Linked DNA regions of Rattus norvegicus. The protein of the gene in region 3 purifies or fractionates together with the protein of the main gene of each other region. This does not show direct contact. Links are inferred from orthologs where the notes say so. Each region holds a gene or a part of one and is shown on either strand. Other genes may lie near its edges.

What was found.
Region 1: the proteins of Dicer1 (region 3) and Ago3 purify together in Homo sapiens (affinity purification with mass spectrometry; 3 studies listed by BioGRID and IntAct, with this or other methods). This does not show direct contact. The link is inferred for Rattus norvegicus from reciprocal best matches to the Homo sapiens genes DICER1 and AGO3.
Region 2: the proteins of Dicer1 (region 3) and Ago1 purify together in Homo sapiens (co-immunoprecipitation; 7 studies listed by BioGRID and IntAct, with this or other methods). This does not show direct contact. The link is inferred for Rattus norvegicus from reciprocal best matches to the Homo sapiens genes DICER1 and AGO1.

Annotation. Positions count from the first base shown.
Region 1 is NC_086023.1:143,929,315-143,932,837, forward strand, and holds part of Ago3 (protein argonaute-3), read right to left. Parts: intron 3,169-3,523; coding exon 2,974-3,168; intron 2,262-2,973; coding exon 2,127-2,261; intron 280-2,126; coding exon 178-279; intron 1-177.
Region 2 is NC_086023.1:144,035,014-144,038,662, reverse strand, and holds part of Ago1 (protein argonaute-1), read left to right. Parts: intron 1-2,058; coding exon 2,059-2,242; intron 2,243-3,649.
Region 3 is NC_086024.1:129,454,361-129,458,657, reverse strand, and holds the start of Dicer1 (endoribonuclease Dicer), read left to right. Parts: upstream 1-1,405; 5' UTR 1,406-1,715; coding exon of another isoform or gene 1,716-1,751; intron 1,752-4,297. UniProt on the Homo sapiens protein: Double-stranded RNA (dsRNA) endoribonuclease playing a central role in short dsRNA-mediated post-transcriptional gene silencing.

The DNA.
Region 1 (3,523 bases), on a different chromosome or scaffold from region 3:
AATTCTGCTGTTTTCATAAAAATATTTCCCTCTTAAAGTAAGGAAAAGGAAGAAATTCGTTTACTAAAACTTACACATGAAAATAACTAGGAACACAGAAAAGAGTATTATTTACTCTCTGTTTGCTGAGGAGAACTGGGGCTCCTCAGGAAAAACATTCCCCTGGAGCAGGCTCACCTGTATTCCAGCATGGCTGCAGAGATAAAAGTCGAATTCATACGGGTGAGTGATGTCTGTATCCACTGTGGTTCCAGCTGGGATGTTGCCGCTTCTTCCCACCTACATTTTTTTTTTTTTTTGGCGGAGGGTGGGGGGGGGAATCAAATTTTAATCAACAGGACAAAAACAAGTATCAGAAAGTACATTAAAAATGTTCAAATACATAAACCGACTTCACATTTCACTACTTTGAGCTTGAAATATTACTGAAGTAGCTATTAAGTTCATCCCTTAGTTCCTCGTCTTTTAAAAATTTATTCTTTTTTTTTTTTTTTTGGTTCTTTTTTTCGGAGCTGGGGACCGAACCCAGGGCCTTGCGCTTCCTAGGTAAGCGCTCTACCACTGAGCTAAATCCCCAGCCCCTTAAAAATTTATTCTTATCATCACTACTATTTGATTTTCCAAGACAGGGATTTGTTGTTTAGCCTTGACTGTCCTAAAACTAGTTCTGTAGACCAGGCTAGACTTGAACTGAGAGATCCGCCTGCCTCTGCCTCCTGAGTGCTAGGACTAAATGTATATGCTACCACGCCCAGCTTAATTATATCTAGTCTTAAAAAAATCCCAGCCTAATAAATTAGCAACACATACCATACAGAAGCTGTAACCTATTTAAAGAGGAAACTGGATTTTTCATGACAGTTCCAGTTTCTAGATTTATGCTCTAGGGTAGTTAGTCCCAACCTTCCTACTGCTGCAACCCTTTAATACAGTTCCTCATGTTGTGGTAACCCCCAACCAGAAAATTATTTTTGTTGTTATTCATAAACAATTTTGCTACTGCTATGAATTATAGTGTAAATAGCAAATAGCCTTGGAGACAGAGGTTTGCCAAAGTGGTGGTAACCAACAGGTTGAGAACTGCTGCTCTATCTAGGACAAGGTATTTTACCTCTTTGTTTTCTCAGCTATAAAAATCTTCCTTTTTGTTTTCATTTTTGGGAATTGAACCCATGGTCTGAAATGTGCATTACATCTAAACACTCCAACTAAACTCTGTCGCAGCCATTGTTAGCGTCATGTGGAGCATGGGCAGAAGTAAGCACGGATGAGCGGCCTTACTAACCGCAGCTGACCATCGCCATTACAACTCTGTAGTAGAGCTAGAGTTGTGGCTCAGAGGTTAGGAGCACTGGCTGCTCTTCCAGAGGCCCTGGATTCAATTCCTAGCACCCGGGGTTGGGGATTTGGCTCAGTGGCAGAGCGCTTGCCTAGGAAGCGCAAGGCCCTGGGTTCGGTCCCCAGCTCTGAAAAAAAAAAAAAAGAACCAAAAAAAAAAAAAATAAAAAAACAAAAATCAATTCCTAGCACCCATGTGGCAGCTCACAACTGTCTGTAACTATACACACATGCAGGCAAAATACCAACATACATAAAAAAATGAATCATAGAAAAGAATGCTGTGTAGTTACGTAGCTTGGATTTGAGGACCACTTCTAATAGTGCTTTCTCTGTAACCATCGAGAGATTACAGCTTCATTTTCATGACAGGGATGATATATATATATATTCTATTATATGTAATAATAACTGCATAATTTTTAGGAGGACTAAGTCAGTTAAACTGAAAAACCACTTAGGTTGAGTATGGAGCTCAGTGTACACAGCCTAGCTAGCACCCATGAGGTCCGCACATGATTTCCAGCAACAGAAAAAGAGGAAGAAGGGAAGAGATAGGAAAGGAGGGAGAGAAGGAACAGGGAGAAAAGGGAGGACGGGAAGGGAAGAGGCAGACATTGGAAGCTTGATGGTGGGGAGGGAGCTTGACTTAGAGCAGTATTACAAGACATAAAATTACCCTTTCTGGGTTGGGGATTTAGCTCAGTGGTAGAGCGCTTGCCTAGCAAACGCAAGGCCCTGGGTTCGGTCCCCAGCTCCGAAAAATAGAAAAAAGAAAAAAAAATTACCCTTTCTGTTCTATCAGCACAGAACAATCGCGTATGATGTCTCTTCTGAACGACAATGTAGGTTATTCCAGGTTGATAGTCTTTTTCCAAACTGATACAGGCTTCTCGAATTGCCAGGAGCTCATAATATAATACCTAGAGAAGATGCAGCACAGGAACGGAACAAGCCAGTTGTTTATTTTACAAATTCCAAAGTAAGATAATGATTTCACTTCGTGATTTTCTGTTTTTAAGGATCAATTTCATTTTAAGTTATGCATATGTGTTTGGGCAGGAGTTTGTTTGTGCACGTGCGTGCAGGTGCCCTGGATGCCAGAAGAGGACATCAGAGCTCCTGGAGCTGCGGGTGGCAGGGAGCCACCTGATGTAGGTGCTGGGAACAGAACTCAGTTCCTCTGCAAGAGCCCCAAGCACTCTTAACTGCTAGGCCACCTCTCCAGCCCCACCTCATGACTTCTTAGCATCATGTACCGTACACCTCCATAATGCTTCTGCATTATGTCATTTAGCCACGAGCAGAGCAATGAAGGCTCACATATCCACAGGAAGATTTAAAAAGGAAAATCTACCGAGGCATCAGTTTTGATTTGACAAACTTTTAACTTCAGATGTTTACCTTCAGATCTAGAGATCACATCATAAACTTAGTGTGTGGTATACTTATGGCCTAAATATATTCCAGGCAACCCGCTGAGCATCCTCGAACACACATCCTGGGCAAGGAGCTACAAGGTTACAAGGCTGGCGGGGGATTGAATTTTCATTGTACGGCAGCACAGTTGGAAAACCAAAGAAAACAAAGTGGTATCTTGCCCACAAAGAAAAAAAAAAATCCCAGGCAACCAACCTGTCTAAACTGTCCTTCGGAAACACCATCCCGATAAAAGATGATCCGAGTAGGTTTGAATCGGGTTGACTTGTAAAATTGGATGAGCAGTTCCCGGACCATGGAGGCCAAGTCCTGGATGATTTCCTGTCGGGGTCTCTGAACTCTCACTGTGGCACAGTATCTGCTTGGATGGGCATCCATACTGCCTACAACCTAGGTGGGGAAGAGAGGAATTCATCAAAACTAAGCTGTCTTCATATGCTTTACCAAAGCCTGTTCATCATTACTTACTTTGAAAATAACAAAACATAGACAATCCCTCGTAAAGAATAACAACACAAAGACTAGAACGATTAAGCAGTATTTTTTTCTTTTTCTATTTTCATGTGTGTGTGGTGTGCATATACGCAAATCCATATTTTGTACATATTTGGGACCATGTATAATGCTGTCCTTACATGTGAATGTGTGTGCATGAAAAGGTCAGAGGTTGCACAGTTATAGAAAGAGCAAGCAGGCAAATTACAATACTTATAGATTTAAGGAATAAAGTTAACAGATTTAATGG
Region 2 (3,649 bases), on a different chromosome or scaffold from region 3:
AAGCTGGGGGCAGGGCGAGGTTGGGGAGGAGAGACTGTACAGCTGTGGCGCTTTCCTGGGGATAGATAGAATGGCAAAGAGGTAGTTGTTTCCCCCTGCCTCCTTCCCTAGTTTGGGGATGAAGTGGAGAGATGTTCTCCATTTTCTCTGAACCCTGACCAGGAGCGTGCTCTCAGGCACTGGTGTGCTGTCCAGCTCTGGGATGGTGAGAGCTCCAAGGGGAGTGTCTGTCTCACCTCATCCCTGTAATTTCTGCTTTGCCCTTGGTTCTTCTAGAGGGATGTCTCTCAGAATTTCAACTGATTATTCAGACTAGGAGGCAAAAAGTGAATGGAATCCTAAAACTTGGGAAAGGGAAAGATATATCTGAAAAGGGACAAATGCTTCTGCACAGAGTTTGTGTTTGTTTGGGACAGTTGCAAGCATGGTTGTGTGGTTGTGCACTCTTGTGGTGTGCCTATCGGTTTGTTTGTTCATTTATGTGATATGAGCATATGAAGTACCTGTCTTTATGCCCGGCACTAGCTTGAGCTGTGATTAAGTCAAGTATGGTCCCTTCTTTTGAAACACTGAGTCCTCACTGATGGTGAAGAGCGTATGTAGAACGGTAAGCTTTAGAGCGCTTGCATGTGAGAGGGGTGCGTGTTTGTCAGTGGGGCTCGTATGCAGTATCCATTCAGCCCTTTCTGGGATAGGTGGGACTAGTTTATTAGTTCCCTTGTAGCTGAGTTCTGAGGGACTTGGTATTTTCCTCTGCAGAAAGGGGCTGGGGCTGATTTGACAGGTGGTTTAGAGGGAGTCAAGTCCTTCAGCTTTGGAAGGTGTGCACCTCCCACAAATGACCCACCTCTTCCTGACCCCCCTGCCTAAGATATGCTCCATACCCTCCCACCCCTGTCCCATCCCCCAGTCCTGTGTGTCTATGAAAGCAGAGCTCTGGTAAAGAGGGCGTTTGTCCCTCTTCCACCTATGCTGGTCCTCTCTCTGCTGGAAAGAACAATAGTAGCAGAGGACAAAGGCTCTACTTAGTGTACACACACACACACACACACACACACACACACACACACACACACACACACACACACGGAGTAGGAGAGGGAGACTGAGGAGCAGTCATGCTGGCCTATCCTAGCCCTTCCTTCCCCAAGGGCCCCTTCTGTTCTGAAATCGATCCTTTCTGCCGTCTGGACCCTCCCTCAGTGTGGAAAGATTTGTGAAGAATGGAAAGTGTCTTATATTCCCTTTCTGACCTGGTGTCTCCCCTCTTACTGTTCTTCCTCCTTCCCGAGCCTTTAGCTTTCTTCATGTGAGCTTTTATTTTCTTCCGTTTCTTCATTCTGCATCTTGATAGTTTTTTCTCTGTACCCCAACCTTGCCCTACCTGTACCCTTCCTTCCCTCCTTTTTCTACCCAATTCAAGGCATTTTCTCTTGTGACCTCCAGATCCGACCTTCTCCCCGCCCTGGCAGCCTCTTCTTAGCCTGCAGATGCTGTCCTTCTACCCTTTTCTTTCTGTCTCCCCAGAGCCAGCATTCCCTGTCTCAGTCCTGTCTCAGGCCCTGCCCTTCCCAGCCTGCCTTTCTTGAGGTTGTTCACCTGTCCACATTAACAGAGGATATCATCCCAAAGTTCTGGTGCCGTTTTGTGTTCTGGATGCTAATGAGTGAAATGAGCTTCTCGAGTAGCACAGAATCAATCGATCGTTCTTAAACTGGCATATACCTACCTGGTAGAGACAGGTGTCTCAATCTAGTAGAGATGGAGGAAAGCGTTGTGAACTAGGAACTTAGCTACTTTTCTTGAACTCATTACACATTTACTTGTTGAAGTTGTAGACACACATTTTCCTAACTGAAGAAAGGTTTAAAACAAAAATAAAAGTAAAATAAGCCATTGGAAAATCCAGTGAGCCTGGGAATGTCCAAGCTGGTGGAAGCCCCTGCTGGGTGAGGAAAGAGGAACGAGACCCACGGTCTTGGTCTGAGAGGCCTTGTCTGATCACAGCAGTTAGAAGATGGCCAGACTCTGTCCTCACTGGCTTCTTTGTCTTCACAGCTGCAGGTGCCTACCTGCCTCCCCTGCAGCAGGTGTTCCAGGCCCCTCGCCGGCCTGGCATCGGCACTGTGGGCAAACCGATCAAGCTTCTGGCCAATTACTTTGAGGTGGACATTCCTAAGATTGACGTCTACCATTACGAGGTGGACATCAAGCCGGATAAGTGTCCTCGCAGAGTCAACCGGTAAGTGATGACTGTGGGTGGCACCGAGTCCAATTTATTAAACAGGGAAAGAGGAAACATGTCGGCCGGAGAACTCTGTAAGAACAGAGCACATTCTAGCACTTGCTGAGATAGGTGACTCCAGAGATTTTAAGAATGAGACTTAGGTAAGGAGCCCGGTAGAGAAGGAGAAGTTAAAAGGCAAGGCTAAAATGGCGGGGGTAAGAGCAAGATGGATGGTGTTCTTGCTTGCAGGGGATGTTCCGGGATGCATATTTGGAGAGATTAATCGTAGAAGAAGCAGATTAAATTGGTTTATTATTACTGGAAAACCATATTCACAATTAAAAACTAGGAATTTTTTTCAACAGTCTTGAGTGTATTTTCAGATATTTTTCTGTGTATACATTCATTATAATATGGACATGAATATATAATACATTTATAGTAATATATTCCCATCAATTACTGTTATTACTTATTAATTATATTAATAACCATATATAATATTACATTATTACATATTATTGTATATGCGTATACACAAACATGTGCATACATATACACATTGGTTTTATACAAGTATTACATATAATACAATATATGTGCATTAATATGTGTATATATGTAATGTATGAGCATATATAATAATAATGTAAGATTCTATATACTTTGTTCAATATTGTCCATTTTTCTGTTTAACCATATATTTTGGAAAATAGTATATATTAGTATATATAAATCTGCCTTATTCTTTTGTGTAGAGCCCTAGATAGTCCTTGAAATGACCACATAATTTGCTTGATCTATTGTGGGATATTTAGGTAGAGTCTAAACTTTGCAACAAGATTGAAACTGTTAAGTATTATATAAAGATACATATTTTCACAGATGTGTGAGTGTATCTGTAAGATAGAAGTCCTAGGAGTGGAATGACTGCCACAAGGCAGTTTAAATTGAGACATTGTCCATTCCTGAGGCAGTGTCAGAAGAACTCAGGAGTAAGACAGAGGAAAAGATGATACAGGAGAGAAAACAGTGGTAAAACTTCCAAGAGCTGGAGAAAGGACTCCTACCCTGTATTTTATTATTTCTAGGCCAGTTCAGATCCGTTCCTTTCTTTCCTTTCCGTCTTTGTTTGGCAGACAGGATAGACCTGGGAACAGGCCCTTCCCCTTCAGAAGGTCTGTGGAGGTCTCATGATCTGAGGACCAACAGTATTACTGTAGGATTTTGGAAGTGTGGGTTCTAAGTGTGGGTTCAAATCAGAAGATGACTTTAATGAAACCTGATGATTCATAGGAATGTTGGAAGCTTGAGGTGTATTGCCACGGAGTAGACCTTAAACATGAGTGTGGTACACGGGATGTTGCCTCAATTTTGAGCTGTTTCCAAAAGCCAGAGTGACAGCCTCAGCTTCCACGTGCC
Region 3 (4,297 bases):
CATTTACCCATGGCTGAAGGTCAAGCTAACTCATGATCAATACATGACCAGAATTTGAGCACAGGACTGAATGAGCACACCTGCTTGGGAGACAGCATAAGATTCAAGTCTCAGATGTTCACATCCTAGCTGCAGAGTAAGTGGAGTTTAAACCATTTTTTTCTTTAAAATGGGAGTCATATAAGGTGTACAGGCCTATGAGCTTTAAATTCAACGCTAGTCCACGGAGCTTAAAAATTTCGAGTGCTCACACAGTGGTTCTCAAACCTGTTGGTCTCGATCTTTTGAGGGAGGGTTCAAACGACCCTTTCCTCGGGGTCACCTAAGACCACTGGAAGACATATTACAATTCATTATAGTAGCAAAATTGCAGTTATGAAGTAGAACGAAAATAATTTTATGACTTGGGGGCGGTCATCAAAACTTGAGGAATTGCGTTATTGGGAATGTTGAGAACCATTGCATTTACAGGAATAGACGGGGCTGGGGAGCTGGCTCAGAGGTTAGGAGCCTCCTGTCGTGAAATCATGAGGATCCGTGCCGCGCATCTCACACACAATCACAGACACACAAATAAATAGATGAACGTATCTTAATTTTTATAAAAAGCCGGGTATGATGGCACACACCAACTGAGAGGCGGAGGCAGTTGGATCTCTGAGTTTGAGGCCAGCCTGGTCTACATAGCGAGACCAGCTTTCAAAATAATAGTAATAAGAAAATGAAACAAACGACACTAGTATTTATTCTAATAAACAAACCACTACAATTTGTTAAAGATTAACCTTAATTCGGAGAGGTAACAAGCACTATGTGGAACTGGTGGCCATCCAGTTGGATACACTTCAGATGGACAGCGAAGTGCTTCCAGGGGCGGAGAGAAGCCCAGGGCTAGAACTGTCCATTCTTCACCTGGAATACAACAGTCTATCCGGAAGTCCTTTCCAAGATGCATGGAGGTCGGGGAGGCTACACTAAGATGGTTTTCTTTAAGTCGGTCTCTTTATTCCTTTGAACTCAGCAAGCTCAGCCTTAGCAAATCTGCACGCCGAGGGCATTTTAAATTGGTTTTGAGGGATGGCCAAAGGGCCCAGTTCTGAGGACTCAAAGAACGTTGCAATGGGGTTTGCGGCTGGGGGCGATGGGTCTGCGAGGGTGCCATCATCCAGGAGAGAGAGTCGCCAGAGCCGGGAGGCTACTCTAGACCAAGCCCGGACCGGACTTGGTACAGGACTCCAGCCCGCCGGCTGGCTGACTGCGTTACAGAGCTCGGTCTTCGCATTGGGCCTCATTCACCGCCTCGGACTGAGTCCGCTGTCTCCCAGCTCCTGAGTGGCTGGAGGGTCGGGATTAACCTTTCACCTCCGCGCCCCGACCAATCACAGGACGGCTTTCATGCGGCCGCAGGGCGAGCAACCGAGGGGGCGCGGAGCGGCGGCGCGACGCCGGTGGGATTCTCCAAGCCGCTGTGCGCCGTCGCCGCGGGCCGAGCGCGGGCTGCGGGCGAGCAGGGCGCTGCGCAGTCTCCGCAGGCGCGGGCGGGAGGGGTCGGGACGCGGCGCGGTGCGGTGCGGGCGGCTCCGGGCCCAGGTGAATGGAGTAACCTGACAGCGGGAACGAGGCGACGGCGAGCGGCAGGAAATGGCGGCGGCGGCGGCGGCGCCGGGCGGCACCGGGAGGCCTGGGCTGTGACGCGCGCGCCGGAGCGGGGTCCGATGGTTCTGGAAGGCCCGCGGCGCCCAGTGCTGCAGGTGAGGCGGGCTCCCGCTGGGCCGCTTTGTGTCCGGGCCCGGGGAACAGCAATGCACGGCCCGCCTCTTGCGCCAGGCCCGCGCGGGCGCCTGGAGCAGGCCGCGACGCCGAGCCCGGGTAGATGAAGGTCCACGCGGGCCTCTCCACGTCCCAGCCCTGGGAGGAGCGGGCTTTGACAGGTCCCGTTCCGCGTTCGAAGCCCGGGAGAAGACAGGAGGTATCCACGCGGGCCGGCGTCCCGGGAGCGACCCGGGCCTGCCAAATGGCGCTGGACCCCTGGATGTCTCAGAGGATCAGGAGGGGGACAAGGCCTCCGCGAGGTGCGGGCTGGAGCCCTGGGAAGGATTGTTGTGTGTTTATTGGCAGGTGACCAAAGCTGGCCCTAGGGGGTGGGTGGCTCAGGCTGTGTTTCGTGCCCCTCCCCTTTCTGGTCGCTGTGCCTTTAAGGGGCTTTCGTTTGGCCAAATCAGTGTACATTTCAAGTTAACAAACCAAATTGGTGTGGATTGCCTAGCAGAACTGAGCTGCCCTTATGACTTTGCCTGCAGGACAGCGCCAGTGTTCTGAAGACTTGCCCAAATGGATGGATGAATGATTGGGAGTCTGTGATCTATATGGACCTTGCCTTTATGAGTAGAGTTGTGGCTAAAGGGTTAATTACCGATATATGATGACCTAAGTATTATGATGCTCAAGTGTTGAAAGACATCATCTGCTGAAAGAGACTTACTTGGGACTTCCTGAGTTTCCGAATCTTTGCAGTCTTGGTTGTCAGTTTTCTGAGGAGCCTCACAGTGTGCCAGTAGAAAAGAATGCAATTCAAGAGTTAAGAAACTTGGGAAATGTTTTTTCAAACCTGCTGTAAAATAGGATCACTGAGTTGGAAATTCATTGGTATAAACATTGTTTTCTAGGTAAAAATTTTCATTGTAACCAAAGTTTTACTAAAAGGGGAATTCTGGGTAAGGCTTGTAGCAAATGGTAGTTTGGACACTTTTGGAAATAATCTTTTTGATATCTTGGGAGACTGAGTTGTGGATAATCTGTTTCTCTTTTTAGGCTACCTGTGAAATGTGCAGTGTAAGAAGTGCACACATGCTTACGGTTGGAGTGTACTGAACTGTCAGCACCAAGGGCAGCTTTTAATGATCAGTGTGGTAGCTTAAGTCTGTGAATTTACTCGTGGTTCCAAAAGATGTCTCGGTTGGCTTTAACTGGGTGATAAAAGACCTTGCAACTACATTAGTAATGTGGTTGTCTTTATGGCCCTCGCAGGGCACTGCATTTTGGCAGCGTTTCTGGGTAGGAGTTGTATAGCTGGGCTGTTTTGTCTGTTGTTGACCTATCTTGTTTTGGTTTTAGAAGTATTTTGGTGTCGTTCATTTTTGTCTTTCTTGACCCCAGGAAGTTTCTGCCTCAGCCTCTGGGGTACTGGGATTACAGGCCTGACACTCTTGGTTCTGATTGGAGAGTGGTTTTGTGGTGGCATGTATGTCTAGGTGTAACTCTGCTTTCCAGGGGGGATAACCTTTATAGCATTGTGTCACACTATTGCCATATCTTCCTCTTTGCCACTGTCTGATGCTGTGAGCTGGAGATGTCAGTTGAGAGGGTGGGTGTGCTCCTTAAGGATTTCCTCCCTGCAGCCTACATAGGCTGATCTTTGGAGAGAAGGAGGACATTTGGGAACACTCATCAGTCTGTGCCAAGATGTGTCAGGCTCTTTTCACAGAGTCTCATTGAATTCTCAGTGCCTTCATGCAGCGTCCTTCTTCCTGGTTTTACACACGAGGGAAGTGAGACTCTGATGATTGCTTCAGACTGTGAGTCTACCTGAGTCTTGACTGTTTGAATCATGATTTGGTTTCAGAATGCCTGCATGCCTGCTCCTCAAAATGTGCTGTCCAAGTGGATTTTAGGCAGACTGCACTAAGTGGGATCTGTCCTCAGTACAGGTGGCGTGAGGGAAGCTCTGGCCCACTGAGAGAGTCAGGTGTCCTCTGCTTGTCTAAACGTTTGCAGTTGCTTTAAAATGTGACAGGATACTCATTGCAGTTTTAGCCATTAAGTGTACAGTGCAGCACATTCGGGTTTGCAGGTGTCACACGGTCCTCCTCCAGATTTCCCTCATTGGGACACTGATCCACATTCCGCCCTTCACGACTAAGCGACCATTGTTTGCTCTTTTCCTTGTCTTTGAGTTTGGCTGTGCTAGGAGCCTCATGTAAGGGTAGCCATTGAGGATTTGTCCTTTGGTGCTGGTGTACTGACACCTAGCATATGCCTTTGGGCTTCATGTGAGTGTGCATCTTTCTCCTCACTTTGAAAGGCTGAAACTCTCGTATGTACAGATGGTCCTTAGCTTATCATGGTTTGATGACAGTTTTTAGCCTTAAGCTTTGTGAGAAGACCATTTACAGCAGACACTTCTTTAATTGTGAAGTTTTGACTCTTTCCTGTCCCAGTCAGCCATGTGATCATGAGGTGTAGCCAGTGATACCTTACATCATGCTTTGTTGTTCAGCCAGAAAGTTTGACATGCCAA